4 linked regions of the Notamacropus eugenii genome follow. The protein of the gene in region 3 interacts with the protein of the main gene of each other region in a biochemical or structural test. Links are inferred from orthologs where the notes say so. Each region holds a gene or a part of one and is shown on either strand. Other genes may lie near its edges. The genes, in order: RELA, MAPK1, CREBBP and SUMO1.

Region 1 (6,877 bases), on a different chromosome or scaffold from region 3:
ATTAATGGCCTGTGGCCTTTGACTCAATGATCTAATTACTGAAACTCCACAAAAAAGCTAAAGATAGAAATGGCAACAGGTCGTGCAAAAACCAAAATATTCATAGCAGCTCTATAGCTTTCACAGAGTAGAGGCTCATCAATTAGATATGGGTTAAAAAAATGACACATTACTATACAGTAAGAAATAAACAAAAAAATTCAGAGAAAAATGGGAAGATTTGTGTGAACAGATGCAGAATGAAACAAGCAAAGCCAAGAAAACAAGAGATCGCCTGAAGCAAGCCAAGGCCACAGTAACTGAGCAACTAATGAGGGGCCAGCAACAGAGGAGTGGGGGGATGCGGACACAAAGGAAGGAAGAAAGGGAAATGACAGTGACATCGAAACAAGCAGCAGCACAAAAAGCATTTGAAAAGGATCCTGAAGCACTGGTGTAGAGCTGGCCAGCAAGAGGGAGAAGCCAGGGAGTGAGGCAGGGAGGCATGGGCAGGGTGGGGTGGGGCTGCTGGGGGCCCTGGTCATGCTGGCCTAGGAGCCTCTCACCATTGAAGGGGTTGTTGTTGGTCTGCATTCGATGGGCAATGGCCTGCTCCAGATCTCGCTTCTTCACACACTGAATCCCCAGGTTCTGGAAGCTAACACCTCACACCTGTCAGCCTGCCTGGCACCCCAGGCCCAGTCCAGCCCTTGGCCATCCTCTCTGATCCTCTGCCCCACCCGAAGCTCGGTGCCTCATTTCTACTGCTCTGTCCTCCCTACCTTGTGGGGTCCTTCTGGTTCCCCCTCCCCACGTAGGAGAACCCCTGCCCTCGCCCTGCCCTGACTCCCTCGCACCTGCTGAGCCTCCTCACCTATGGATGCAGTGGTCAGGGCAGAGTTCAGCCTCATAGAAGCCATCTCGACAATCCTTCCCCACCAACTCATGAGGGTGAGGTCGGTGAGGGGGCTCCTTGGTCACCAGGGAGATTCGCACAGTTCCTGGTCCTGTGTAGCCAATGACCTGGGAAAGGAATGGAGGCTGAGCCACTCCCACCTTCGGAGAAGATCAGTGAGGGGTCCCAAACCCATCAAAGGGCCTCTGTCCCTCTGGGAGCCTGCCACCTCCTGCCCTCTGCTGGAGGCGGAGGGTGTGCTCACTCCCAGTCCCGGCACCCCTGCAGTGGGGGGTTCTGAGCACACCCCTGAGCCCCGAGCCCCCTGCAGTGGGGGGCTCTGAGCACATCCCCTAGCCCTGAGCCCCCTGCAGTGGGGGGCTCTGAGCACACCCCCGAGCCCCGAGCCCCCTGCAGTGGGGGGATCTGAGCACACCCCCGAGCCCCGAGCCCCCTGCAGTGGGGGGGGTCTGCCCCCGAGCCCCGAGCCCCCTGCAGTGGGGGGCTCTGAGCACACCCCTGAGCCCCGAGCCCCCTGCAGTGGGGGGTTCTGAGCACACCCCCGAGCCCGGAGCCCCCTGCAGTGGGGGGCTCTGAGCACCCCCCCAGCCCCGAGCCCCTGCAGTGGGGGGCTCTGAGCACCCCCCGAGCCCGGAGCCCCCTGCAGTGGGGGGATCTGAGCACACCCCCGAGCCCCGAGCCCCCTGCAGTGGGGGGGGTCTGCCCCCAAGCCCCGAGCCCCCTGCAGTGGGGGGCTCTGAGCACACCCCCGAGCCCCGAGCCCCCTGCAGTGGGGGGCTCTGAGCACACCCCTGAGCCCCGAGCCCCCTGCAGTGGGGGGTTCTGAGCACACCCCCGAGCCCGGAGCCCCCTGCAGTGGGGGGCTCTGAGCACCCCCCCGAGCCCCGAGCCCCTGCAGTGGGGGGCTCTGAGCACCCCCCGAGCCCCGAGCCCCTGCAGTGGGGGGATCTGAGCACACCCCCGAGCCCCCTGCAGTGGGGGGCTCTGAGCACACTCCCGAGCCTGGAGCCCCCTGCAGTGGGGGGCTCTGAGCACACTCCCGAGCCTGGAGCCCCCTGCAGTGGGGGGCTCTGAGCACACCCCCGAGCCCCTGGCAGTGGGGGGCTCTGAGCACACCCCCGAGCCCCGAGCCCCCTGCAGTGGGGGGGGTCTGCCCCCGAGCCCCGAGCCCCCTGCAGTGGGGGGCTCTGAGCACACCCCCGAGCCCCGAGCCCCTGCAGTGGGGGGCTCTGAGCACCCCCGGCCCCTGCAGTGGGGGGCTCTGAGCACACCCCCGAGCCCCGAGCCCCTGCAGTGGGGGGCTCTGAGCACACCCCCGAGCCCCGAGCCCCTGCAGTGGGGGGCTCTGAGCACACCCCCGAGCCCCGAGCCCCCTGCAGTGGGGGGCTCTGAGCACACCCCCGAGCCCCGAGCCCCCTGCAGTGGGGGGCTCTGAGCACGCCCCCGAGCCCCGAGCCCCTGCAGTGGGGGGCTCTGAGCACCCCCGGCCCCCCGGCCCCCGGGGCTCACCTTGATGGTGGGGTGCGTCTTGGTGGTGTCCGTGCTGCGCTCCCCGGGGATGCTGCCCGCCGAGCGGCCCTCGCACTTGTAGCGGAAGCGCATCCCCCGCTGCTTGGGCTGCTCGATGATCTCCACGAAGGGGCCCCGGGCCGGGGGCGAATCTGGGGGGGCGGAGGGGGGCGCGCACACCGCGGGCTCAGGACCCCCAGCCGCCGGACCCCGGGCCTCCCCCCGCCCCTCCCGGCCCCCCCCGCCCCGCCCCCACTTACCGGAAGCGAAGATCATGGGTAACAGGTCTGAAAAGGGGAGGGGGCGCGAGGGAAATCGAGTCAGGCGCCGCCCTCCGCCTCCCCCCCACGCCCCGCCCCGGCAGGGGGGCGGCCGCACGGACCTCCGGCCGGCCCGCCCGGGCCCCACCCGGCCCTCCCCCTCCCCCGGTCAGAGGTCAGGCTCACCCTCCATGGCCAGGGTCCTGGGGGCGGGGCCGGGGTCGCAGCTGGAGCCCCCGCGGCGCGCGCCCTACGCCCGAGCCATTCGCCAGAGGCGGAAATGCGCCGCGCGCGCTCGCGGCGTCACTGCTCGGAATGCGGGGCCGCGCCTGCGCACCAGGGCCTCCCGGGCCGCGCGCGCCCTGCGCGCTCCCGCTAGCGGGGCGGGGCGGCCCGAGTGCGCAGGTGCGGGGAGGTGGCCGCCGAGCAGGGCTAGGCCCGAGGGCAGGGAGGCGTCGGACCCAGACCGGCCCCTCCGCGCTCCGTTTGGCGTCTCCGTTCAGCTCCCCAAATCGCCTTTCCCAAACGTTCCGGCCGAGGACCTGGCCACCACCCAAGGCGGGGTGGGCGGGGCGGACAGGGAGCTGCCCTGATTGGCGGAGCGTGAGACGCCGCTGCGTGCTTGCGTCACGCGTCTTCCAGAAGCACGTGGTCCCAGGACGCTCCGGGAGGGGCGAGAGGAGGGGTGGGCGGAGCCGGAGTGTAGGGGAAGCCCGAGTTTATGAAGCACCTACTGTGTACTGTGGAACGAGGGGGAGGCGCCTTGGGGGGCGCGAGCAGAGCAGAGGGTCGAGGCCCCTCCCTAGTGCCGGCGAGAGAGTCCGATGTCCGAGCGCCAATGAGGAAACTCCCTCCCTCGTCCGCCAGTGTAGGCCTGGCACCCGCCTCTCCGATCAGACCTTGGCCAGCTCGCTTCTAGCTACTGTCCTGTTTCTCTAATGCCCTTTGTGGCTAAAGCCCAGGGAAAGGCTGTCTACACCAGATGCCACCACTGACTCTCCTGGAAAAGGCCGTCTACACTAGGCGCCTCCACTGTCTCCCCTGGGAAAGGCTGTCTACACCAGATGCCCCCACTGACTCTCCTGGGAAAGGCCATCTACACTAGGCGCCTCCACTGACTCCCCTGGGAAAACCTGTCTACACCAGATGCCCCCACTGACTCTCCTGGGAAAGGCCGTCTACACTAGGCGCCTCCACTGACTCCCCTGGGAAAGGCTGTCTACACCAGATGCCACCACTGACTCTCCTGGGAAAGGCCGTCTACACTAGGCGCCTCCACTGTCTCCCCTGGGAAAGGCTGTCTACACCAGATGCCACCACTGACTCTCCTGGGAAAGGCCGTCTACACTAGGCGCCTCCACTGTCTCCCCTGGGAAAGGCTGTCTACACCAGATGCCCCCACTGACTCTCCTGGGAAAGGCCGTCTACACTAGGCGCCTCCACTGACTCCCCTGGGAAAACCTGTCTACACTAGATGCCCCCACTGACTCTCCTGGGAAAGGCCGTCTACACTAGGCGCCTCCACTGACTCCCCTGGGACAGGCTGTCTACACTAGATGCCCCCACTGACTCTCCTGGGAAAGGCCATCTACACTAGGCGCCTCCACTGACTCCCCTGGGACAGGCTGTCTACACTAGATGCCCCCACTGACTCTCCTGGGAAAGGCCATCTACACTAGGCGCCTCCACTGACTCCCCTGGGACAGGCTGTCTACACCAGATGCCCCCACTGACTCTCCTGGGAAAGGCCATCTACACTAGGCGCCTCCACTGACTCCCCTGGGAAAGGCTGTCTACACCAGATGCCCCCACTGACTCTCCTGGGAAAGGCCGTCTACACTAGGCGCCTCCACTGTCTCCCCTGGGAAAGGCTGTCTACACTAGATGCTCCCACTGACTCTCCTGGGAAAGGCCGTCTACACTAGGCGCCTCCACTGTCTCCCCTGGGAAAGGCTGTCTACACTAGATGCCCCCACTGACTCTCCTGGGAAAGGCCGTCTACACTAGGCGCCTCCACTGTCTCCCCTGGGAAAGGCCGTCTACACTAGGTGCCTCCACTGACTCCCCTGGGAAAGGCTGTCTACACTAGGCGCCTCCACTGACTCCCCTGGGAAAGGCTGTCTACACCAGATGCCCCCACTGACTCTCCTGGGAAAGGCCGTCTACACCAGGCGCCTCCACTGTCTCCCCTGGGAAAGGCCGTCTACACTAGGCACCTCCACTGACTCCCCTGGGAAAACCTGTCTACACCAGATGCCCCCACTGACTCTCCTGGGAAAGGCTGTCTACACTAGGCGCCTCCACTGACTCCCCTGGGAAAACCTGTCTACACCAGATGCCCCCACTGACTCTCCTGGGAAAGGCCATCTACACTAGTTACCTCCCTCCTCTCTCAACCCCCTTACAGTCGATCCAGCTTTTGCCTTTATCATTCCACAAAAACTTCTCCCTTAAGTTACTAATTATCTCCTTAGTGGCCACATCCAGTGGCCTCTGCTCCACACTCATTCTCCTTGACCTCTCTGGAGCCATAATCACTCTCTCCTCCTTGGTCCTCTCTTACCTCTAGGTTCTTGGGACCCCCACCCCTTTCTCCTCCTACTTCTTTGACAACTTGTTCTCTGTCTCTGTTGTGAGATCCTCCTCCATATCCCGTGCTCCAACCTTAGGTATCCCACAGGGTTTTAAATCAACATATGCCCAAACTAAACTCATCCTCCTCTCCCCACCCCACCTTCCCTATGCCATGGTCCTCTTGGAGAGGGAAGGACAAGCAACCACAGTGACCACCTTCCTTGTTAGTGCAGAGGGCAAAAACATGCTCCCAGCCCCAGTCATGGATTCCTCATTCTTTTTCACACACACAACCCATATCCAATATGATGCCAATTTTACCTTTGTAATCTCTCTCCAATACACCCTTTTCACTCTGATGCCACCACCTTCCTGGGGCAGACTCTCATCACCTCACACCTGGACTATTGCAATGGCTGCTCAGAGAGGTGCAGAGGGTGTCTGCCTGCCTCTAATCTTTTTCCACTCCACTCCAACTGCTAAAGGGATTTTCCTAAAACCTAGTCTCACCATGTCACTCCCTACTCAGTAAACTCCAGTAGCTCTCTGTTGCCAGGAGGATCAAATACAAAATGCTGTGTGTGTGTTGGTCCTTCGTTGCCAAAGAAGACCATACCATCAGAGAAATGATGACATGACTTGCACTTGACTTTGTTTTGAATGAAGGAGGGCTGTGCAGGTCACCAGCCTCACTTTTCCTCCAGAGCCATCTGAATCCAATAACCAGATATTCATCAGGATGATTGGAGATGACCCAGGATGAGGCAATTGGGGTTAAGGGACTTGCCCAAGGTCACACAGCTAGTGAGTGTCAAGTGTCTGAGGTGAGATTTGAACTCAGGTCCTCCTGACTCCTGCACTGCTGTTCTATCCACTGCACCACCTAGCTGCCCCAACAAAAATGCTGTATTTGGTATTCAAAGTCCTTCATAGCCCTTTCCAGCCTTCTTACACCTTACTCCCCAATGTGTACTCTTCTCTGCAGTGACATTGGTTCCCAGAGCGGTACCCCATCTCTTGGATCCAGTCACTCCTTCTAGCTGCCTCCCATGCTTGGAACGTTCTCTCTCTCTGTTTTCTGGCTTCTTTTAGGTGCCAACTAAAATCCCACCTTTTACCAGAAGCCTTCTCCCCCCTTAATTCTGGTGCCTTCCTTCTGCAGTTGTGTATAGAGCTTGTTTGTATGTGTTTGCACGTTATCTTCCATATTAAATTGTGAGCTCCTTGAGATCAGGAACTGTCTTTCATCTCTTTTTTGTATCCCCAGTGCTTAGCCACAATCAGTGCCTGGCACATAAATGTTTATTTACTTACTGATGTCCTATCAAAACATTTGTGGTAGCCATCTACGCCATCTATGCCATAGCAGCTGCCTAGGCTATCTAGACAAACATTCTAGTGTCTTTACAAGGGTGATGAATTCCTGATAGGGGAGAGTGAACACAGTTTCTTTTCTTAGGTCTCAGGGGTCAAGTAATTGTAGGTTTTAGAGACAGCAGCTACGTCCAGAGTGACTGTAGCCCTTAGCAGAATTTATCAGTCATCAGTCCTGGCTGATTAAGGCTTGTTAGAAATAGCAGCTGACACAACACCAGAGGGCAGAGATTAGTAGGACAGACCCACAATGCTCAAGGCCTTT
Region 2 (7,182 bases), on a different chromosome or scaffold from region 3:
CAGTGGTAACACGTCTTTCAGGTAGAAGGAGATGGGAACACAAGGAAGCCTGGGGGCTGGGCAGCTGGATCCTGGTTCTTTATTATCAACATATGGGTTCAAGATTAAACTGTATATGGTACTACAGAAAACTACCAACAGTGGTGCTAAATACCAGAAAATTCCAAGAGCAAAGAGAAAAACTAGTTTTACTAGTAAAGCATAAATAAAACTTTTTAAAATTCCAGTAGCTGACAAGTCCTTCCACTCCAAAGAAGAACCTAAAGAATACTTTCAAATCTCAATATGCTTAGTGTTGACAATGAAGAATAAAGGACTGGATGTATCACAACATAACAAGTATGAATTTTCTATTCTAGAACTAGAGAAACCATGCTGAATGATGTATCGCTATCAGAGTCCATATTTCCCTTCCAAAAATAAAACAATCTCAGTCACTTCTAAGTACTGCTTATAACTTCTGCCTAATTACACAGGTCCAGTAGCAATCACATATATCATTAAGTGTTCTAAGTTTGACTGGTTCCCAAAACAAAATCATTCCTGTGGGGTCAGCTTTGTGCTGCCTCCACAGCAATGGAGGACAATTTTTTAAAAAAAAGAAGCAAAGAGAACATAGGTCACAACACAGTATATTGAGCTAATGTAGTTTCATGAAGGGACAGAAAAGACATTGTGGGAGAGGGCAGACAAAAGCAATCTTGAAAAATCGAGTAGCACCTAGAATAACCACCAGGAGTAGGCCTACTAGCTGGAAAGCAAAGAAACAGCAAAGGTGAGAGAGAAAAAGAGAGAGGGAGGAGGTGGAGGCAGAGTGAAGAGGAGGGAAAGAAGAGAGGGAAGGAGGGATGATGGATGGATGGAGAAGGGGGGAGGGAGAGAGAATGAGAGAGAGAGAAGGAGAGAGAGGGGGAGGGAGAGGGAGAGAGAGAGAGAACAAGAGAATCCATCTTGCTTGGTTCATTCTCAGATCAAGCAATAAAGGACCACCCTGGCTGGACTCTCACTCACTTTGGGGAATATATGGCAAGACAGAGCCATGATGCTCAGAAAAGTACTATTAAAAGTCTGAATTCTACTCCAGATAAAAAAAGACATTACTGGGCAATACATGGGTAAAAGACATGAACAGGGTAAGAAAACAAAAATAATTTCCTTTTGAATCACTGAAAAATACACTTTAATAAAAAGTTTGCCCTCTATCTTGACTCTTTGCTAGATGCTGCCATATGGTCTCCATATCTTATTAGGACATCAAACCAGCATGTCTAGGTTGACAACAAAAATTCAAGTGAATCCAAAGGAACCATCTAGGGGTTAGACCATCAGGGGCAGAAAAAAGTCTGAAACTGAACACCTGAACAATTTCCCATCCATACTTTCTGTGATTCTATTAATCATTAAACAGTTTTTTTTAAAGCACAATGCACAACTGTTCAAGTCTCAAACCAATAAAAGGCCACGAAACAATAAAGCTAAACACCATGTTCACTAGAGTCAGTTCAACAAACTTTAGACACCTACTGTATGCAACGAAATAATTTGGTGGGGATGTAAAGAGGAAAAAAGGGAAATTGTTCCCACTTTTAAGAAGCTTATGATTTGACAAGAGGAGGCCAATACTAGGTCACACAATAGAGCTTTTAAGCAGTCTGATGGCCTCAAATGAAGAAACCCATCTGACTGGCCAAAATGTAAGATCTGGGATCACAGCCCGTTGATTAAAATTGGGATATTGCCGGATGTAAATATGAAGAAAGAGGGAAGGCAACTCTACCTCTGATGCTAAAGGGAACAAGATGGCACCCTGGGAAGGGTGCCTTAGAACCAGGAAGAAAGGATCAGGAGCTCCCATGCCAACTCCGCCGGGTCTCAGATCTGGTCATTTGTTAACAAGTGGTGGTACCTGCCCTAAGCGCCCGCCAGGATCGCCAGGAAGAGCCAAGGTCCTCCTTTGGGGCCCTGGGGGCGATGTGCACGGGCTATGCTTCTGTCAGCGCCATAGCCTGGAATGCTGGGGGTCACCGGGGGCTCCACAGAATTGGGGAAAGTCCCCTGGGAGAGCTGGGCGCCCCTCCGGCCCCGGGTGACCTTCAGCACGCCCGGCCGGCCTCCGTGTGCGCATCTGTACAATGGATACTGTAGCGAGGCTGTCGCTGTTACTGTTACTGTTACTGTTACCGCCACTGTTACTGTTACTGTTACCGCCCGGGCCTGGCCCCCCAGCCCCGAGCAGAGGCCGGGCCGGCCCTGGAGCCGCAGCGCAGCCCGCCCCGGCCATCTTGGCCCCCCCACCCGGTAACCGGGCACGCACCAGGCGCGGCCGGCCGCCCCGCACTCACCACACCATGCCGTAGGCGCCCTCGCCGATGTAGGACAGGTTGGTGTAGCGCGGGCCCACGTCGAACACCTGCCCGCGGACCATCTCGGGCCCCGCGCCGCCGCCTCCCGCCGCCGCCGCCATGATGGCCGCCGCCGCCGCCGCCGCCCGCCGAGGGAGAAGGAGGAGGAAGAGAGGGCGAGCACGCGAGGAGGGGCGCCCACCGCCGAGCCGCCGGGAGCTGCCGCGGCCCCCCGAGCGCTGCCGCCTGCTGCCTCCGGCCGCCGCCCGCTGCTGCCGCCCCGACCGACTGACGGCCCGACTGCCCGACTGCCTGGGGGCCGAGGGCGGGCGCGCGGCGAGGGGCGGGGCCTGCGGCGAGCGCGCGCCGATGCGGAAGGACCGGCCGCCGGGAGGGGGAGGGGCGGCCGAGGCTTCGCGGTCACGTGCAAAGGGAGCGGAGGGGAGGGGTGCGCGCAGGCGCACACGCCGCAGGCCGGGGGAGGCGGGGAGGAGGAAGGAGAAGATGTAGACCGAGACGAGGAGAGGGGCCGCGGGGAGCTGCGGGGGCGTCCGAGGGGGAGCGAAAGGGAGGAGACCGAAAAGAGGACCTCCGTCCGGGGAGGCGGCCGCCGCACCCACGCACCCCCTGCCGACGGAAAGCGAGCGAACCGGAGTACGCATGCGCCGAGAGGCGCCGCCGCCCGCCCACACGCAACCGCGCGCCAGCGCCCCCCGCAGGCGCGCCCCGGCGCACGCCCGCCACATACCCGCCCTGCACCCCGCCCCAGACACGGGAAGCCGCGCATGCGCCGCACGGGCCTGCGGCCCGAATCCCAGCTCAGCGCCTCTCCCCGTGGCGTGGTGCGGCGCGGCGCCCCCCTGCCGGAGGACCCACTGTGTGCTGGGCTCTGCGCTCCGCTGCGGGGGTGCAGAGAATGCAGAAGCCGCCCCAGGGGAGCAGCCCCGGGGCACGCGGGGCAGATGTGCCCCGGCACGCGCGCCTCCGCCCGGGCCTGGCAGGCCCCGAGATGCCCGAGCATGCCCTCCCCTGGGAGGGGGGGGGGGGGTCCCACGCCCACGCCCCGAGCCTCCCGGTGCCCCCGCACCAGGCTCGGCACTCGCACGGTGGGAGCTGGATGGTCAGCGCTCACCCCGCTGCCCTCGAGCCCTCCTAGATCCCACGCGCACCCCCTCAACCCCTTCCCGAAAGTGCCCTGGCAGCGTAGTCAGAGGTGCAGGCTCAGCCCCCCGACACCCGCCCCGAGAATCGGAGAGGCAAGCAGCCTGGGAGCCCGCGCCCCTCAGGCGGGGAGCTCAGCGGTGTGCCCAGGTCACTCAGGCACCCCGTCCTTCCGGTGCCTACCCTTGCAAAGCAGGCTGCGTCCTGGCACGTAGGCCCTGCACTTTACAGCGGTCTCGTGGGATCCTGACAACAACCCTGCCACCTAGGTGCCGAAATTAGGCCCCTTTTACAGTTGAAGAAACTGAGGCAGGCAGAGGTTATGTGACTAGTCTGGTGTCCGCTGCTAGTGAGTGTCAGAGGCGGGGTTTGAACTCAGGACCAGCAGTCTATCCACTGCATAGCCTAGCTGCTTCATGGAAGGTTTGCAACGCACTTAGCAAGTTTTATCTCATTTGATCCTTACCACAATCTTGGAAGGAAGGTGCTGTTATTAGCCCTGTTTTTCAGATGAGAAAACTGAGGTTGAAAGAGGTGTCTTTGCCTGCAGTGTTAGTGGAAAGAACATTGGCTTTGGAGTCAGAGGACCTGGGATCAAATTACAATTCTGCCACTTGTGTAGCCAGTTAAATGTAGTATTTTTCACCTCTGTAGACTCATCTGTAAAAGAAAGGAGGGCAGAGTCCCTTCCAACTCCAAATGGAGGACCCTCTCATAGGGCAAAACACTTGGAGCTCATATACATGTAGAAAGGTATGCTCCTGTGCAGGCTCAAAGCCCCTACCCACCCTACTAGAGACGCCCTCAGATGCCCAGACCCCACACATACTTCCAAGGATCCCCTCTTCCTGTACATACCATCACAACCCACTCAGATCTCACACCCACTCGGCAATTACCACACACATTCAGCTACCCAGCTATCCCCTCCAGGCACATCTCCCCAAAGGCACCTCCACTCTTCCCACATCTATTCCTCCTACACACCCTTCGGAGGCACCCCCATCTTATAGGCACCCTCCACACACAGAGCTGCTCAACACATGCTGAGAAATGCCAGGCACCTTAATCCCCACTCCACGGCTTCTGCTGCAAGTTCGTCTGTCTCTCCGTCACACGTACCACACGCTTCGAAACCACAGCCAGCCAGATCTAAGCCAACACCATCCACCCTGGTTCAGCCTCTGTTTTTGCAAGCAGAGCGTGCAAACGGTACATCACAAAATCTAATCTGGTTGGACCCATTTTGCATATCTGATTTTGAGGCTGCTGTTAGTAAACTGAGCAGACACTGCTCAGAGAGTCAGAAACAGCATCATAGTTCTTGAAAACCTCCCTCTTTTTGTATCACCCGCCCTTAGCACAGGGCCTGGCACATGGTAGGTGCTTAATAAATGTGGCTTGATTGATGACTGATTGAAAAGAAGAACACAGTTCTGGAAAATAGAGACTGAAGTACTGGATATAGATGCCCATCAAAATTCCAGAATATATTCTCAAACATAATGTGTGAACCCCTGGAAAGAGGAGCCAGAACAAAGGATTCCAGACTACATAAAATTCCTTCTTTGCTAGTTTACTGGCTGCAAGGCTGTCAATACACAATGGATGGATTTCAGCAAGAAAACTTGTAAGACTCCAGGTGCCAAGATGTAGCACATACAAGTATACAGTTAGATGAATTCATGACTAATTGAAAAACTATTCAGACTAGTGATTACTGGATCAATGCTGTGCTCTCACTTCCAAAAACACAACTGCGATGAACTCAGAATGAACGAGATGGAACTAGATATGAAAAAACATTCAAGAAGCTGCAGGCTCCATATGAGTCAGCAATGGCTTGTGGCAGCCAAAGAAGGCTGATGCGTTCTCGGAGGCGTTCAGAGAGGCAAGGGAGGGAACAGATCTGCTCTCCTTTGCTGTGGGAGGCAGGATGGTCCAGGATGAAAGGAAGGTCAGAGGACCCGGATTCATATTCCACCTCTAATGCTCCTCACCTCTAGGACCTGTCCCTTCACCTCCCTGAGCCTAGGCCCTTCATCGGTGAAATGATCTGGAACCCTCAATCTAAGCTGCTTTCCTCATCTTCCTGTCTCATTCTCACAGTCAAGCTGGGTCCCCCAAGAGGGCAGTGACATCTGTCCTCCGGGTTCTAGCCTTACTGCTCTGGTGTGATTCCCAATATCATTGAACCGGCTGGCATTGCCTCAGCCTTAATTAACATTGGTTAGCTTTTACAAAAGGATATTAAGGCATAGAGAGGACCAGAGTACAACTAAGTCACACACAAACATGCACATGCACACGGAGCCTGGGATACACTATCCCCCAAGAACTATAGGATACTGGGCTTAGGGAGCATGTAGCCAAGCAACTCAGGGCCTGCATTCCGGGATTCTTTTTCTCCCTTTGAGGAGTACTCTTGCAGTTCGTAAGGGTGGGGACCCCCAAGGCAGCTAGGTGGTATGATGGGTAGAGCACCTGACCTGAAGTCAGTAAGTTGTTAAGCTATGTTTTAGTCAGGTCTGGCTCTTCATGACCCCATCTGGGGTTTTCTTGGCAAACACACTGGAGTGTTTTCTATTTCCTTCTTCAGGTCATTTTACAGATGAGGAAACTGAGGCAAATAGGGTGAAATGATTTGCCCAGGGTCACCCAACTAGGAAGTGTCTGAGGCCAGATTTGAACTCAGGAAGATGAGCCTTCCTGACTCCAATATACTACTCACTGCACTAACTAGCTGCCCCAGAGTCATTTAGACCTGAGTTCAAACCTGGCCTCAAATACTCCCTATCCTGGGTGACCCTGAGCAAATCACTTTACATCAGACCTCCCTGATTTCCTCATCTGTAAAATGGGGATAATAATAGCACCTCCCTCTCAGGATTGTTGTGCCAGTATCTGTAAAGTGCTTTGCAAACCTTAGAGGACATCTGACTGTTATGGATGAATATCAGAGTCCAGAGCTGAGGACTTTCTTTTTTTTTTGTGCTACTGAGGCATGTGTTACAGGGGCCTGCAACTGGTGCTCACGGGAAGGCTCATGAGGCTGTCCTCTGGTCAAGTGTGGGGCAGAGACAGAGCCTCTCTTCTCTCTCCCTCCTCCCCTGACTTCCTTCCTTCTCCCCTGTCTCCCTCCCTCCCTCTTCTATCTCCCTCTTTCACTCCTTTCTTCCATCCCTCTTTCCTCCCCTGCTTCCCTCCTTCTGAGGGAGAAGTCTCTCAGGAGCTTGACTGGAACTGTCCCAGCACAAGGCTGGCCAGCCAGTGGAAGGAAGCCCAGGCTCCAGCTGGCAGGCTGTTTGTATCTGAGCCCCACAGGGCAGGACCGATGCTCTCCAGCCAATTCCAATACATATCCTGAATACTATTCATCTCATTTCACTTCTTCCAGTGCTTGGCATTTCTGAATGATTAAAGGTTTCTCCCATGCCTAGTTTATACCTTTAATTGATTTATTCTGTACCATAATTAGAGGTGCTCTCAGCTGGTAAAGGTATGCTGGCTAAAGCATCTGGTTAGTTACACTGGTTGGGGCTGGGTGATTGATTGATTGATTGACTCAGTGGGGAAGTCTGGACTTCCCGGTGACCACCTCCCTAACCCTGTGATCAGCTGAGGGAACAGAGTGTGTTAACTCTAGCAGGTTGCCCAGTGACCTGTGCAGAGTAGGCTT
Region 3 (6,890 bases):
CTCCCAAATCCAAACTTTCAATCTCTGAAACTACACATGAAGCTTATTAAACACTCCTAACTCCAAGTTAGTTCCAATTTCTCCCTGGGACTTCTACCAGATGCTTTCTCCAATTGTAAGGATAGTGATTTTCTCCAATTCCATATTCTCTAGAAATTACTTCACTTCCCTATCTCAGAAAACACATTCATCCTTTTGCTGGTGTATTTCATGTATTAAACAGTTGTTTATCTGTTTAATATATATCCCTAACATCTTTATCCATATCATTATGAACTGTCTCAAATTATTAGCTACTGAACAGCAAGGCTGTTTAAGTTACTTTATAATAATACCTTACAAAGGACCCCATACAAATATTAATGATGTTGACTAAGGTTTAAAGTAAGGATGAGAATGACGTTTGTCTGTGGAGTTAAATTTGGGTTATCTGCATTACCTAGTAATATAATTATTTATTAAGAGTTTTGATTTTTCGTTTTTCATCCTCAGAAACCAGAAAATCTCCCTCAATTGTTCCTAGAGTTGGGCATAAAAAGAAAGAAAAATTGACAAAAGTGAAAACCTTTTCCTAAGGAACTTTGCTGGGATTAGCAGTATGTAGCGGGAAATAGTTGGGGTGTCTATTTCTGAAAAACTCTTTATGGCAGCTGTATAACTAGTTTATGTCCCTTTATATAACAAAAGTCTAAAACAAACTAAAGTACTACTACTACTACCAAAGCAAAAATCTGCTATTAAGGTTACTCAGTTTGAGAGCACAAATTTCTAAAGTTGAGGTCCTTTGTTTTCTACTTAAAGAATTCATATTCATATGCCAAAATTAAAAGGAAAAGGGGTAAAGATTCTATCTTAAGAAAGTTCATCAAACAATTTCAAAGTCACCTACACTGTGCTTTGCTGAAAAGAAATGATTAAATTATGGTTTTCATATTTCTTAGGAAAAAACACAAAAAAAATTAAGATTTAGGATCAAAAATAAACTCCAAGTTAATCAACTAAAAATTTGTTAAATTTTTACTAGTGCCATTTCTCCCATTGGTTTATGTTTTTCATTTAACCGTTCAAGAACCTGTACAAAAGAGTATTTGTCATTTTTCAATACTAGTAATAGCAAATGTTACATGCCATTAAAAAAAACTGGCTGGAAGATGGGACACTATTTAAAAACAAAGCCAAGCTAAAGTTTCTGTTGCAAAGTATGCAGTTGTTTTCTTGTGTTACGTCAGATACAAGTGTTTTCACTGTTTCATTTCAGAGTGCACATCTACAGGCATTGCAGCAGCAACATAAGTCAATTTAGATTCATTCATTATAAAGTGATTTTCAGATGTTACCACCAGAGATGAAAAGGTTTCATTTGAGAAAGAATGTCCTTAAACTAGTAACTACAAGACGAATTTTTACAGTACAAAGAAAGATATTCAAAAAGAGGAAATATGAAGAGTTCTCAAAGCTGTAATAGGGAATAAGGTAATGAGCATTTAAAAAAAAACACAAAAATTAGTGACATGAAAAAAAAGTCTGCAGATGTTATTATCTAAAGAAGCCTTCAAAGAAGTTGTCCTAATGAATATAAGCATGGTTTTACAATAAGAGATATTCTGAATCACAATGAATTTTTCTATCAAATTCTAAGAATTTTTAAGTTTTAAAAGCAGATGACCACTTTGTTTTTAAAATAACCTAAATTAAGTTTAGTCAAAGGAGGAGCTTAATTTTTAATGGGACACTTGGCTTACATCCATTTAAAACTATCCCTGTTAGAAATATAAAATTAAATACATAGTAACTTTTATGAAATATTACTATTAAAGTTTCAGGTTTAGGAGAGTGGAAAGATTTGAGGGGATAGAGTTTCCAAAGTAACTTAATATTATATCCAGAAACAAGCTTGAATTTTGAAAGATTAAGTTATCATTATAGATTGCACCACATAAAAAGTTTCTGGATTTCAATACTTAAAAGTGTTATCACTATCAGTTAAAAACTATGATTGATGTTGTCGCTGTCTTGGAGATTCAGAAAATATTTCTAGTCACCAATCTTTCAGCCTGGATGTTTCTTTCCCTTACCAAGATGCAGTCCTGACACACACACACACACACACACACACGTTTCAACACTCCGCAGCAGATACACTCATCTGATATCACTACACAAAACAAACACACGGCACCTTACTTTTTTTTTTTCCTCCTTGGAAAAGTCATTTAGCATCGAGAGACTCGTGCAAGGTTGCACCCCAGCCTAGCAAATCAATCTGAATCGGAGTATCTTTTTCCACTGCCTTCCAATCGCACTTAACTCCCTTCCTTCAAACTTGGAAGAATTTATGTGATCAAGGTAAGGGGAGACGGAGGGTGAGGGAAGGTTTAGTGGGGAGATGGGAACAATTTTACGTGGAATCCCTTTGCAATGCCTAACTAGATAAAAAGAGGATCACTTCTCTTCGGAACCCACCACCTCGGCCATCGCTAACATCCCATTCATCTAGCTACGATCCCAAAGCCTTTCCAGGAAGAAAGCCCCCTCCCCCGTTCATCTGTGATCTGAAATGTCTACTCACCTTTGGAGTGGAAAGTGACAGGTAATTCAAAACAGGGTCCGCGGACACTAAGCCTACTAACCCTCACTGCGGGCTGGGCCTTCTCCCAGTTCCCCTGAAAGCTACGTTACATCTCGATCCTCTGAGGCTCCCAGGACACTTGGCTTCGATCAGATTCACTTCGGTCCCCTTCCCCGGCACTCCAACCCTTTATGTTTTCAACCATCTTCCTGCCCTCCCACCCCCAAAAGGCCCCCGGTCCTCACCTGTATTGTCACTGGCTGAGAACCCAGGCGAGTTGAGTTTGGCTCGTTTGGGGTTGGGCGGTCCGTCCAGCAAGTTCTCAGCCATTTTAGCCGGCTCTCGAAAACAGCCCCGCGGGTGGGGGTAGGAGCTGCGAAGGGTCCGGGGCAATCAGGAGACAATCCGGAGCGGGGGGTTGGGGAGGGTTCGGAGAGCTGCCCCGGCCGGGCCGGCACCGAGAGGGAGCGGGAGGGGGGGGGCTGTCCGAGCGTGTGTGAGTGAGTGTGAGATGGGGGGCCGGAGGGGGGGAGGGAGGCCAGTGAGGTGGGGGGCCGGCGGAGAAATCACAGCCACAGCAACAGCGCCCCGCAGCGCTCACCGCCCGCCCCCGGCCGCGGCCGCTGCCGCCGCTGCTGCTGCTGCTACCGGCCGCGGCTCCCTCATCCCCTCCCCGCCGCGGCGGCGGCGGCCCGGGACTCCCCCCCGCCCTCCCGAGCGCGACACTCCAAGGAGGGGGGGGCCGAGGCGGCCCAGCTGCCCCCCCGGGGCCCAGCTGGCAGCGACGGTGCCCGGCCGGGGCGGCTCAGTCAGTCCCGGGGAACATGGTGCCTCCCGCCCGCCTGCCTCCTCCTCCTCCTCCTCCTCCTCCTCTTCGTCCTCCTCCCTCCCCCCCTTCTCGCCCCACTTAATTAATTAATTCTCTCCCCGCCCGGTGGGAGGGGGGCTTCGGGGTTCGCTCCCCTACTCGGTTTGAGGAGCCGGAGCCGCCGCCGCCGCCGCCTTGAGGAAAAACAATGCGCGAAGCGGAGCCTCCGCCGCCGCCGCCGCCGCCGCCGCTGCTGCCCCCCCCACCCCCGTTCCGCCGCCGCCGCCGCCGCCGCGGCTCCGGGAAGCCGAGCCGAGAGCCGTGCGGGGCCGCCGGAGCTGGCGCCGAGGGCCGGGCGGAGCGGGCCGGGCGGGCGGAGTGGGGTGCGCGGGCGGTTGTGGGGCCCGGAACCGGCGGGGCCGAGTGGATCGCGCTCGAAGCCCCGATCGGGTCCGCGACAAGATGGCGGCTGTTGATTCCTCAATTAAAAAAAAAAAGAAAGTTTTTTTTCTTCTCTTTTCCAGAGCCTGAACGGGAGGGGGAGGGGGCGGGGCACGCTTATGCGTCACCACCACCGCCACCCCCCCCGCAGCGTCACCACGCACGGCCCCCGCCCCGCCCCCCTCCACCTGCACCCGGGAGCGGCCGGAAAGATACGAACGCGCCCAGGCGGAAAGGGCCGAGCGACCGGGCTGGAGTGCGTAGCGCTGCCGTGTTGTGGCGGACAGCGCCGCCCGTGGGCCGAAGGAGGGACGTGAAGGGCCGTGGGCGTTTGCGAGATCGCTTTTCCTCCGCTTTCGCTGTAGGTCCCTAAGTGGGACCCCAGGGGGGCGGCGGGCAGCCCTGGGCCGGTCTATGAAAGTGTTCATGCTCGCGCTGCGTGTGTGACCCGGGCCAAGCCTTGGTCACTACCGCGGCCGGCCCCGGGGGCCGCCCGGAACGCTTTCGCAACCTCCTCTCCCCGCCAGTTTTGCTGAGTTTGGTAGGGTTCGGGTTGTTTCTTTTCTTCGGTGGCGTGGACCAGGAAGGGCTGAGTCGTGACCTGCCCGTGGTCTGTGGGGACTTTTGTTCGGAGAAAGTTGTCAAGGGAGCGGAAAGGAAAAATACCCTTGGATTTTAGGATTGGGGAGTATAGGTGAATTGCAGGACAGGTAGCCGCAGCCTGTCTGGCTTTTCTGGCCATCTGCCGTGCAGACGGTTTTCTTATATCACACCTTCCTTCCATATCTTCCCAGGGAGCCAACTTTCCTCCAATCAGGGCTGTTCCCCAAACCCTCTAAGTTTGAAATTGCAGCATATTTCGCTTCCGAATATCTGGGGAGAGGGGCAGGGGAGGGGAGGTTGAGGAGGGGCTGGGGCCTAGTGTTTTATCCATGTTGGAAACTCTCACAAATCTCCAGCAAATGCAGATCTCATCTGTAACTTAAGGGTGCCTGCGGTACTCAGATAGTAAGTGACTTTCCAGAGTTACAGACAGTAACAGTAAATGTCACTGGTTGTACCTGAACCCAAGTTAAGCTCAAATTGGCTCTCAATCCACCACACTGGGCTCCCTCCCTATCCACTAGGCCTAATTTATGATAATAGAGGAGGGCCAAGTTTAGGTCAGTTGCTCTACCCTGTCAATGTTCTCTCCCAGCCTTGTGAGAAGAAGCCTCCCCTGCTTTTCTCCTGGATTTATGGCTCAAGTACATGATACTTTTCGCTCTCCAGGAGGCTGCTGCACAAGCAAAAGTTCAATTTAACGAACATTTGTTAAGTGATTACTATGTGCCAGGCACGGTGATGGTGCTGGGGATAGAAAGACAAGAGTAACACAGTTCTTATCCTCAAGGAATTTATAAATCCACTGGAGAGATACAACTTGTCCACAGAGAAGGATACATGAAATAGATACAAAGTGATGGGAAAGTGACATTAACAACTGGGGCAATCAGGAAAGGTCTTTTAAAGTTAGAAAGTAACACTTGAGTTTTGAAGGATACCAGGGTATCCAAGAGGCACACGTAAAGAAGAAGAGCTTTCCAGGTATGAAACGTAGCCTGCTCACAGACTGAGACAGAAGATGGGATATCTCATAGGAGGAACTAGCAAGTTGGCCAGTTGGCCTAGAAGTGAGGGTGCAGAGTCATGTGAAATCACCTTGGAAAGGTTGACTAGAGCCAGATGTGTAGCACTGAAATGCCAAACAAAGAAGTTTGTATTCTCTCTCCTAGAGGAAATAGGTTAGCCACTGGAGCTTCTTAAGCAAATCAAAGTTTTAGGAATATCAGTGAAGGCCTGAAATAGAGTAGTTATGGTAAACAGGAAAGAAAGAGATAAGAGATGGTGGAGGTATTTTATAAAGGAAAAATAAACAAGGCTTGGTAAATGTTTGGATATGGTAGGGTAAGGGGTAGTAAGAGAGAAGAAATCAGAGAAAAAACTAGGTAACTAGAAGGATGGTAATGCCATCAACAGAGAAACTGAGAGGAAAGGAGGAAGTTAAGCAATTCAGTTTTGGACATGTTGGGTTTAATATGTTTGTGGGAATCAGTGAGTCAGTCAACAAACTTTTACTAACTGCTTACTATGTACTAGGGTGTACCCAGGCTTGCAGGGTGGGAGATAGATCAGGAACCTCATCTTCTTTTCCTGGCTTCCTTCAAGTCCTAGGTAATCCTACCTTTGGAAGTGTTTCCCAATCCCTCTTTAGTTCCTCCTCTCTGTTGATTATTTCCTGTTTATCATGTGTATACCTGTTTGTACAAATTTGTTTGCTTGTTGTTTCCCCCTCATTAGACTGTGAGCACCTTGAGGGCCAGGATTGTCTTTTGCATTTCTTTGTACCCTCTGTGCTTAGCACTGTGCCTAGCACTTAGTTTGTAGGTGCTTAATCAATGCTTTATTCACTGACAAAGGAGACTAAGTAGGAGCAATCAAATATTGGAAGAGACTGATGATAGAGCAGGATCACAAAAACCTAGGGAGGAGAGTACAGGGAGAAGGAGAAAGTGGTTGACAGTATGAGGACTGAGAAAAAGCCACTGGATTTAGAAATAAATCCATGGTGGCTTTGGAAAGAACATTTTCCCTCAAGTGGTACACTATGATAGACCTATCAGATAAGTGATGAAATTTTACTTATTTGTCCTGGAAAGTGGGCCATCATGATATTTCTTGGCCATTTCCAAATCATACCACTGTGCTCATACCTGCCACCTCCACTTTCCAATTCTACCTCCCCTTCTTTGTTGTCTTACTAACCTCTTGGAATATAAGTTCTCCGAGGACAAGGTTTGTCTCACTTATATTTGCATAGCCAGTGTCTGACCGATAGTAAGGATAGTAAGTACTTGATAATTTTTTTTTCATTCATTCATTGAAATGGGTCAAGAAGTCAATAGAAGCTGAGAAAGAAGAGGTTTTGCAAAGTGCCTGGGACCAGTAAGTACTCAAAAATCATTTGTTGACTCATTGATTGATTCATGGAAAGAACATTCAAACCTAAGTATCACTTAGTGTCCAGTGAGG
Region 4 (7,083 bases), on a different chromosome or scaffold from region 3:
GCAATGGCTGAATGAGTTGTGGTATGTGAATATAATGGAATACTATTGTGTTACAAGAAATGATGAGCAGGCAGATTTCAGAAAAACCTGGAAAATCTTACATGAATTGATGCTGAGTGAAGTGATCAGAACCAGGACATTGTACACAGTAACAGTAATACCATGTGATGATCAACTATGATTGACTTAGCTCTTCTCAGTAACATAAAATAGATCCAAGACATTCCAAAAGACTCATGACAGAAAATGCTACCCACATTCAGAGAAAGAAATATGGAGTCTAAATGCAGAATGAAGCACATTTTCACTTTGCTGTTTTTTGTGGCTTTTCCTTTTTGTTCTGTTTCTTCTTTCACAACATGACTAATATGGAAATGTTGCCATGACTGCACATGTATAACCTATATCAGATTGCTTGCAGTCTTGGGGAGGGGGTAAAGGAAAAGAAAGAGGGAGGGAGAAAAATTTGGAACTCAAAACTTTATAAAAATGAATGTTGAATACTATCTTTACACGGACTTGGAAAAAATAAAATACTATTTACTAAAAAAAAGTTTAACTTTTCTGATTTTAAAGGTAGAAATGTAAGAACTATTCCTTAGTTTTCCTATTATGACTGATAATAACTGAAAGGTTCCTAAAAAATATGCCTTTCCAACAGGACTTAATGTAGAATTTCTGAACAGATACTGTGCACGATATTCTACAAACTGAATGGTACTGTACTAGAAAACTTTAGGGCTCCTGCTCTTGATTTTAAATCCTGAGGGTATTTCAACTTTTTTAAAATCAGATCTTTCGTCTTTTAATAAATGTTATCTGATGAAGACAATTCAAATTTCTAATCTCAAACTACTAATTTACCTCCTAGCTTCTAAGGAATTACCTATATTTCATAACACTTGCCTACTTTATTCTGGATAAGATACGGTAATTTTTATTTTCTCAATTCTTTTCTATTCTGAGGCTGCAAGGTGTCGCAGCACACAAAGCACTGCACCTAGAACCAGAAAACCTGAACTGAAACTGGCCTTAGGACTTTTTATCAGCTCGGTAATCCTGGCCAAGAGACTTAACCTGTCTGCCTTAGTTCAGTTTCCTCCACGGTAAAATGAGAGATAACGACGGCATTTACCTCCCAGGGTTGTTGTGAGTATCATAAATCTTGTAAATCCCCTGGCACATAGCAGGTGCTTAATAAATGCTTGTCTGCTTCCTTCATTCATCCCCCAAAAATACTTCTACATAAGAAATTTGACACATTTCCCATGTTTAAATGTCAAACAAAAGACTGCTAACATATTTTACATATATTCTCTAACTAGTAACTGAATAAACAATTTAATGAGATACGTTATAATGGTATTCAGATGCCTATTAAAGTGCTGAGTACCACCCAGAGCTAACCTAAATAGCGGCTTGCTTTTTATAACAAAAATGTTTCCAAATGTCTCGATTTCCTAAAATCCGATGGATTTCCCCTCAAGCAATGCTGCACAGAACTGACAAATAAACAGACACGTGGATAAGTTTGCCAAATTTAAAATTCCAACCCTGCCGCAGTGTTTTGAAATGAAAGAAAAATCTTAGGGTTTTCTTTCATCCAAGCAACCTGACTCTCGATTTCTCCATTTGACATTAATCAATCGAGTACTCCGGACCTCACCAAGTGCACTGTAAACCAGCCCCAAACACAAGGCAAGGGTGGCAAGGCTCCCCCGCAAAGATTCCGCTCGGACCCCGAGCCCACACACACTGGCCCGGGCATCCTGACTGTGGGAGCTGGGGAAAGCCGCGGGAAGCTCCTCGGGTCCGGTCCTTTTGTTTTACTCCGGGGCGGCCGCAAACAGCAGTCATCGCTAGGCCCATGCCTAGGAAAGGGCTGCGGGGGGCGAGCCGGGGCTCCCAGTCCGCGGAAACGCCGAACCACTCCGAAGTACAAACAGGAAAAGTTCACGGAACAAGGGGAGCCGCCGCCACCCCCATCCACCCCATCCACCCCATCCACCGGAAAAAGGATCCGGAGAGAAAAAGCCCGAGCTCGGCGCGGACGCGGGGGCCCGGCCCTGTCGCGGGCCCAGGCGCCAGGCTGCAGCCGGCGCTGCCGGGCTCCGGGCGACCTGGCAGCCCCCGCCGCCGCCGCGTCCCCGGCATCCGAAGGGGAATCCGCGCTCAGGCCGCCCCCCCCGACCCCCCGAGGCCCTGCCGGCCGCCGCGGCGAGCTCCCTCTCCCGTTATATAACCGGGGCCTAGGCGCCCGCGGCCGCCGTCAGGCGCGATTGGGTTCTGCGGGGCCCGGACGCTCCCCGGGGGCCTGAGCCAGGGCGATGGGCACGGCTCCGGGGCTGGCTGACACCCGGTCCGCGGGGCCGGCGACCCGACGTGCCTCGGGCGCCCCGGGTCACGGGGAAGTGCACGGACTTCTCGCAGGGGGCGAGGAGGCTCCGGCTTCGCGAGGCCGGGCCCCGGACGTTCGGGTGCCAGACGCCGACCCTGGCTGGCCGCCGGCCCCGCGCCCGCCGCCCCCTCCCCTGTCTCCTGTGCCCTCTCCTCCCCGCCCCCATTCCCGGTCCGGCCGCGGGCCCGGAGGGGCCGCGAGATCGCAGGCCCCGCGTCCGACTGCCCGTCAAGCCGCTGCCCTAAGCTTCCTACCTGGTCAGACATGGCGACGGCTGCTTCTCTCCGGGGGTTTCGGCGCGATACCGGCCTCGGAAGGGCGAGAATCACTCTCCCGGGTTTCTAAAGCTGTCCCTCTCTTCCCCACAGCACAACACCGCGGCGGCAGAGACTTCCGATGCGCCTGACGTCACTTCCGTTCCCCGCCCAGAAAAGGAGCGAAGAGTTAGAGGGGGCGGCGGGAGAAGCGGGAAGAGGGGCTTGGTGTGGGGGGAGTGTATCGAACCGACCCCGCGGGGTGGCCCGGGTGAGGTCACGCTGGGCCCGATCGCCGCGGCCCGGGTCCTTGCCTGCGGCTCGGGCCGGACGGCTGCATCGAGCCCTGACCCGAGAGGCCACGGCCCGCCGCCCGTTGGGGCAGGGTGATGAGATCCGCATTGTGGGACTGTAGACCTAGCTCCGCGCCTCTCCCTTCCGTTACACGTGGGGAAGCCGAGGCCCAGAGAAGCGCAGGGGCTCGTCCGAGGGGGCCCGTCTGCGGGCACGTCCCGGGGCCTGCTACGCGCCAGGCGTGGCGCTGGGAGTGGAGAGGGTGTACAAAGGCGGCGCAGGCAGCCTCGCCCCTCGGCGCGCTCAGCCTAACGCCGTGTGCAAACGAGACACACAGACGCGCTGTACGGGGCAGAGCGGAGGGGAGCTCGGAGACCGGGCGCTAGGCCGGCCTCGAGCGCCATCCGCAAAGGCTGGCACGGGACACTGGCGGGGAAAAGGCACCACGTCTGGAGATGGCGCCCGGTGCTGGGATCGGAGCCCAGAGCCCAGCTCGCTCGGCTGGCCGAGAGCCCCGGGTTCAAATGCAGGGGTTGCTGGCCTGGGGAAGGCATGCGTGCCTTTCCTGGGACTCAGTTTCCTTGTTTCATGAAAGGAAAGGCCTGGACCGGATGACCTTGAACGCCTCTGAGCTCCAGGTCTCCAGCCGGGGCTCCTTCCTTCTCTCTAAGAAGGCCCCGGCCCCACCTGTGAGCCTCCGAGGAGCAGCTTTGAACGGGTTAGGAAGACTACTTTCAGAGTCACGCAGGTCGAGGGTTAGGGCCATCTGGTCCATCCCGTGCACCTGGCAGCGCCTCGGCGTGAAGACCGTCAGAGGCAAGGTGGCCCATTCCACTTTTGGGTAGCACTAACGATGAGGAGTTTTTCCTGGCAAGTCCAGATTTACTTCCTGGTTATGCCCTTTGCAGGGGGTGCGTGGGGTGCCTTTCTTTGTACTTAGGGCCCCCCGAGTTTTCCCGAGGCTCCTCTCCTGAAATGACATTGATTCATGATCCTTGACTATACTGGTTGCCCTCATCTCAATCCATTCCAGCTTATCGATGACATTAAATTGTGATTCCAACACTAAACATTATCCCCAGAGAGATCTGATGAGAACAGACTGCAACAAGACTATTCCCTTCTATTCCTGCTTTCCTTCCTCCAAACGGAAGAGTGGGAAGGGTTGGGTTGAGACATTTCAAGAGTTTCTTTTCAAAATAAGAATAATCCTGGAAGGAGTAATTCATTAAGATGTGAAGGTATCCTATTTTAGGACCTAGGACCATCTCTCTGTGAGTATTTCCTCTATTCATTCTGATCACAGTTCTTAAAGGATGATCTAAATTTCTGGAGAAAGAGAGGAAATCCACCACCTAGGAGACATCATTCTGGGACCTTAGTGAGGTAGGTCTTCTGATAAAAGCATTATCTAGTCCTAGATTTGGATTGGAAATTTTTCTAATTTGACAGAACATGCCTAGGGCAGCTGGGTGGCCCAGTGGATAGAGTCAGGACAACTCATCTCAAATCTGGCCTCAGACACTATTTTATGAAGAGGAAACATATCAACTGATACAAAAGGAAATAAGCAGAATCAGAAGACCGTTGTACACAATAACGATATTAATTAAAAGCAATAATCAATTGTGTAAAAGTTAGCTACTCTGCTCAGTGCAATGATCTATGACAATACCAAAGGACTCATGATGAAAACTGCTATCCACCTTCAGAGACAGAACTAATGGATTCATTGCAGATTAAAGCATATTTTTCCTCTTAATTTTTCTTGCTCCCCCTCCACACACAACATGACTAACAGTAGAAATGTTTTGTATGACTTCATATGTATAATAGGTATCACATTTGTTGCCTTCTCGATTGGTGAGGGAGGGATAGCAGGGAAGGAGAAAATTTGGAACTGAAAATAAAATTTTTTTTTTAATTTTTATTTGAGAGTCTACCAGCCAAAACAAACCCTGCGACTGTATGAACACAATTACAAAACACTTCACACAAATAAAGTCAGATCTAAACAATCGGAAAAACATCAGTGGCTCCTGGGTAAGCTGAGCTAATATAATAAAAATGACAATTCTACCTAAATTAATTTACTTATTCAGTGCCATACCAATCAAACTACCAAAAAACTATTTTATAGATCTAGAAAAAATAATATCAATCCATCTGGAAGAATAAAAGGTCCAGAATATCAAGGGAATTAATGAGAAGAAATGCTAGGGAAGGTGGCCTAGACATACCAGATCTTAAATTGTATTATAAAGCAGCAATCATCAAAACCACTTAGTACTGGCTAAGAAATAGAAAGGTAGATCAGTGGAATAGGTGGGCACACGTAACACAGTAGTCAATAACTATCACAGTCTACTGTTTCATAAACCCAGGGACACCAGCTTCTGGGATAAGAATTCACTGTTTGACAAAAACTGCCGGAAAAACTAGAAAATAGTGTGGCAGAAACTGGGCATAGACCAATGCCTGACACCGTGTACAAGAATAAAGTTCAAATGGGTACATGATCTAGGTATAAAGGCTGATACTATAAACAAATTAGGAACACAAGGGATAGTAGATTTGTCAGATTTATGGAGAATGGAGAAATTTATGACAAGAGACTGAGAACATTATGAAGTGCAAAATGGATAATTGTGATTACATTAAATTGAAAAGTTTTTGCACAAGCAAACCCAATGCAACCAAAATTAGCAGGGAAGCAGACAACTAGGAAAGAATTTTTACAACTAGTGTCTGAGGTAAAGGCCTTAATTCTAAAATATATAGAGAACTGAGTCAAATTACAAGAATACAAGTGATTTCCTAACTGATAAATGGTCAAAGGATATGAACAGGCAGTTTTCAGAGGAAGAAGTTAAAGCTATCTATAGTCATATGAAAAGTGCTCTAAATCCCTATTGATTAAAGAGATGAGAATCAAAACAACTCTGAGGTACCACATCACACCTATCAGATTGGCTAAATATGACAAAATAGGAAGATGATAAATGTTGGAGAAGATGTGGGAGAGTTGGAACACGAATTCATTGTTGGTGGAGCTGTGAACTGATTCAACCACTCTGAAGAGCAATTTGGAACTATGCCCAAAGGGCTACAAAAATGTACATACCATTTGACCCAGCAATATCACTTCTAGGTCTGTATCCCGAGATCATAAAAATGAGGAAAGGTCCCACATGTACAAAAATATTTATAGCAGCTCTTTTTGTGGTGGCCTGAAAATCGAGGGAATGCCCATCAATTGGGGAATGGCTGAACTAGTTGTGGTATATGAATATAATGGAATACTATTGCACTATAAAAAATGAAGAACAGTTGAGCTTCAGAAAAACCTGGAAAGACTTATATGAACTGATGCTGAGTGAAATGAGCAGAACCAGAACATTATACACAGTAACAGCCACAGTGTGACAAGACTGTTTCTGATAAACTAAGCCCTTAAACCCTTAAGCCTAAACAACAATGCAAGGACCTAAAACATCCTCAAAAGACTCCTGAGGCAAAAATGCCATCCACAGCCAGAGAAAAAACTATGGAATCAGAATACAGAATGAAGGAGCCTCTTTTCTCTTGTGTTATGTTTTGTTTTTCATGGTTTCTCCCATTTGTTTTAATTCTTCTGTGCAACATAACTAATGTGAAAAGTGTTTAATAAGAATGTTTGTGTAGAACCCATATAAGACTGCATGCCGTCTCAGGGAGGAGGGGGAGAGGGAAGGGGAGAAAATTTAAGACTTATGGAAGTGATTGTTGAAAACTGAAAACAAATAAATTAATTAAATTTTTAAAAAAGAAATGATGAATGGACAAACTTCAGAAATACCTGGATAGATTTTTGTGAACTGATGCTCAGTAAAGTGAGCAGAACCAGGAGAACATTATACACAGTAACAGCCACAGTGTATGAGGACTGTTTTTGATAAAGGACTGTTTTTGATAGACTTAGTCCTCCACAGCAAGGCAAGGACCTAAAACATTTCCAAAGGACTCATGATGCAAAATGCCATCCATATCCAGAGAAAGAACTATGGAGTCAGAATGTAAAATAAAGCAGACTATTTTCTCTTTTGTTAGGTTATGTTTTTCTCATGGTTTCTCCCATTTATTTTCATTCTTTATGCA

Evidence for each region.
Region 1: the proteins of CREBBP (region 3) and RELA form a complex in vitro, tested with the Homo sapiens proteins (9 studies listed by BioGRID and IntAct). The link is inferred for Notamacropus eugenii from reciprocal best matches to the Homo sapiens genes CREBBP and RELA.
Region 2: of the proteins of CREBBP (region 3) and MAPK1, one has a biochemical effect on the other in vitro, tested with the Homo sapiens proteins (2 studies listed by BioGRID). The link is inferred for Notamacropus eugenii from reciprocal best matches to the Homo sapiens genes CREBBP and MAPK1.
Region 4: the proteins of CREBBP (region 3) and SUMO1 form a complex in vitro, tested with the Homo sapiens proteins (2 studies listed by BioGRID, with this or other methods). The link is inferred for Notamacropus eugenii from reciprocal best matches to the Homo sapiens genes CREBBP and SUMO1.

Annotation. Positions count from the first base shown.
Region 1 is NC_092873.1:18,442,441-18,449,317, forward strand, and holds the start of RELA (transcription factor p65), read right to left. Parts: upstream 3,003-6,877; 5' UTR 2,858-3,002; coding exon 2,851-2,857; intron 2,692-2,850; coding exon 2,665-2,691; intron 2,557-2,664; coding exon 2,405-2,556; intron 1,003-2,404; coding exon 854-1,002; intron 638-853; coding exon 546-637; intron 1-545. UniProt on the Homo sapiens protein: NF-kappa-B is a pleiotropic transcription factor present in almost all cell types and is the endpoint of a series of signal transduction events that are initiated by a vast array of stimuli related to many biological processes such as inflammation, immunity, differentiation, cell growth, tumorigenesis and apoptosis.
Region 2 is NC_092875.1:8,407,007-8,414,188, forward strand, and holds the start of MAPK1 (mitogen-activated protein kinase 1), read right to left. Parts: upstream 3,025-7,182; 5' UTR 3,005-3,024; coding exon 2,343-3,004; intron 1-2,342. UniProt on the Homo sapiens protein: Serine/threonine kinase which acts as an essential component of the MAP kinase signal transduction pathway. MAPK1/ERK2 and MAPK3/ERK1 are the 2 MAPKs which play an important role in the MAPK/ERK cascade.
Region 3 is NC_092872.1:58,235,436-58,242,325, forward strand, and holds the start of CREBBP (CREB-binding protein), read right to left. Parts: upstream 3,015-6,890; 5' UTR 2,900-3,014; coding exon 2,815-2,899; intron 1-2,814. UniProt on the Homo sapiens protein: Acetylates histones, giving a specific tag for transcriptional activation. Mediates acetylation of histone H3 at 'Lys-18' and 'Lys-27' (H3K18ac and H3K27ac, respectively).
Region 4 is NC_092877.1:298,546,355-298,553,437, forward strand, and holds the start of SUMO1 (small ubiquitin-related modifier 1), read right to left. Parts: upstream 3,009-7,083; 5' UTR 2,665-3,008; coding exon 2,653-2,664; intron 1-2,652. UniProt on the Homo sapiens protein: Ubiquitin-like protein that can be covalently attached to proteins as a monomer or a lysine-linked polymer.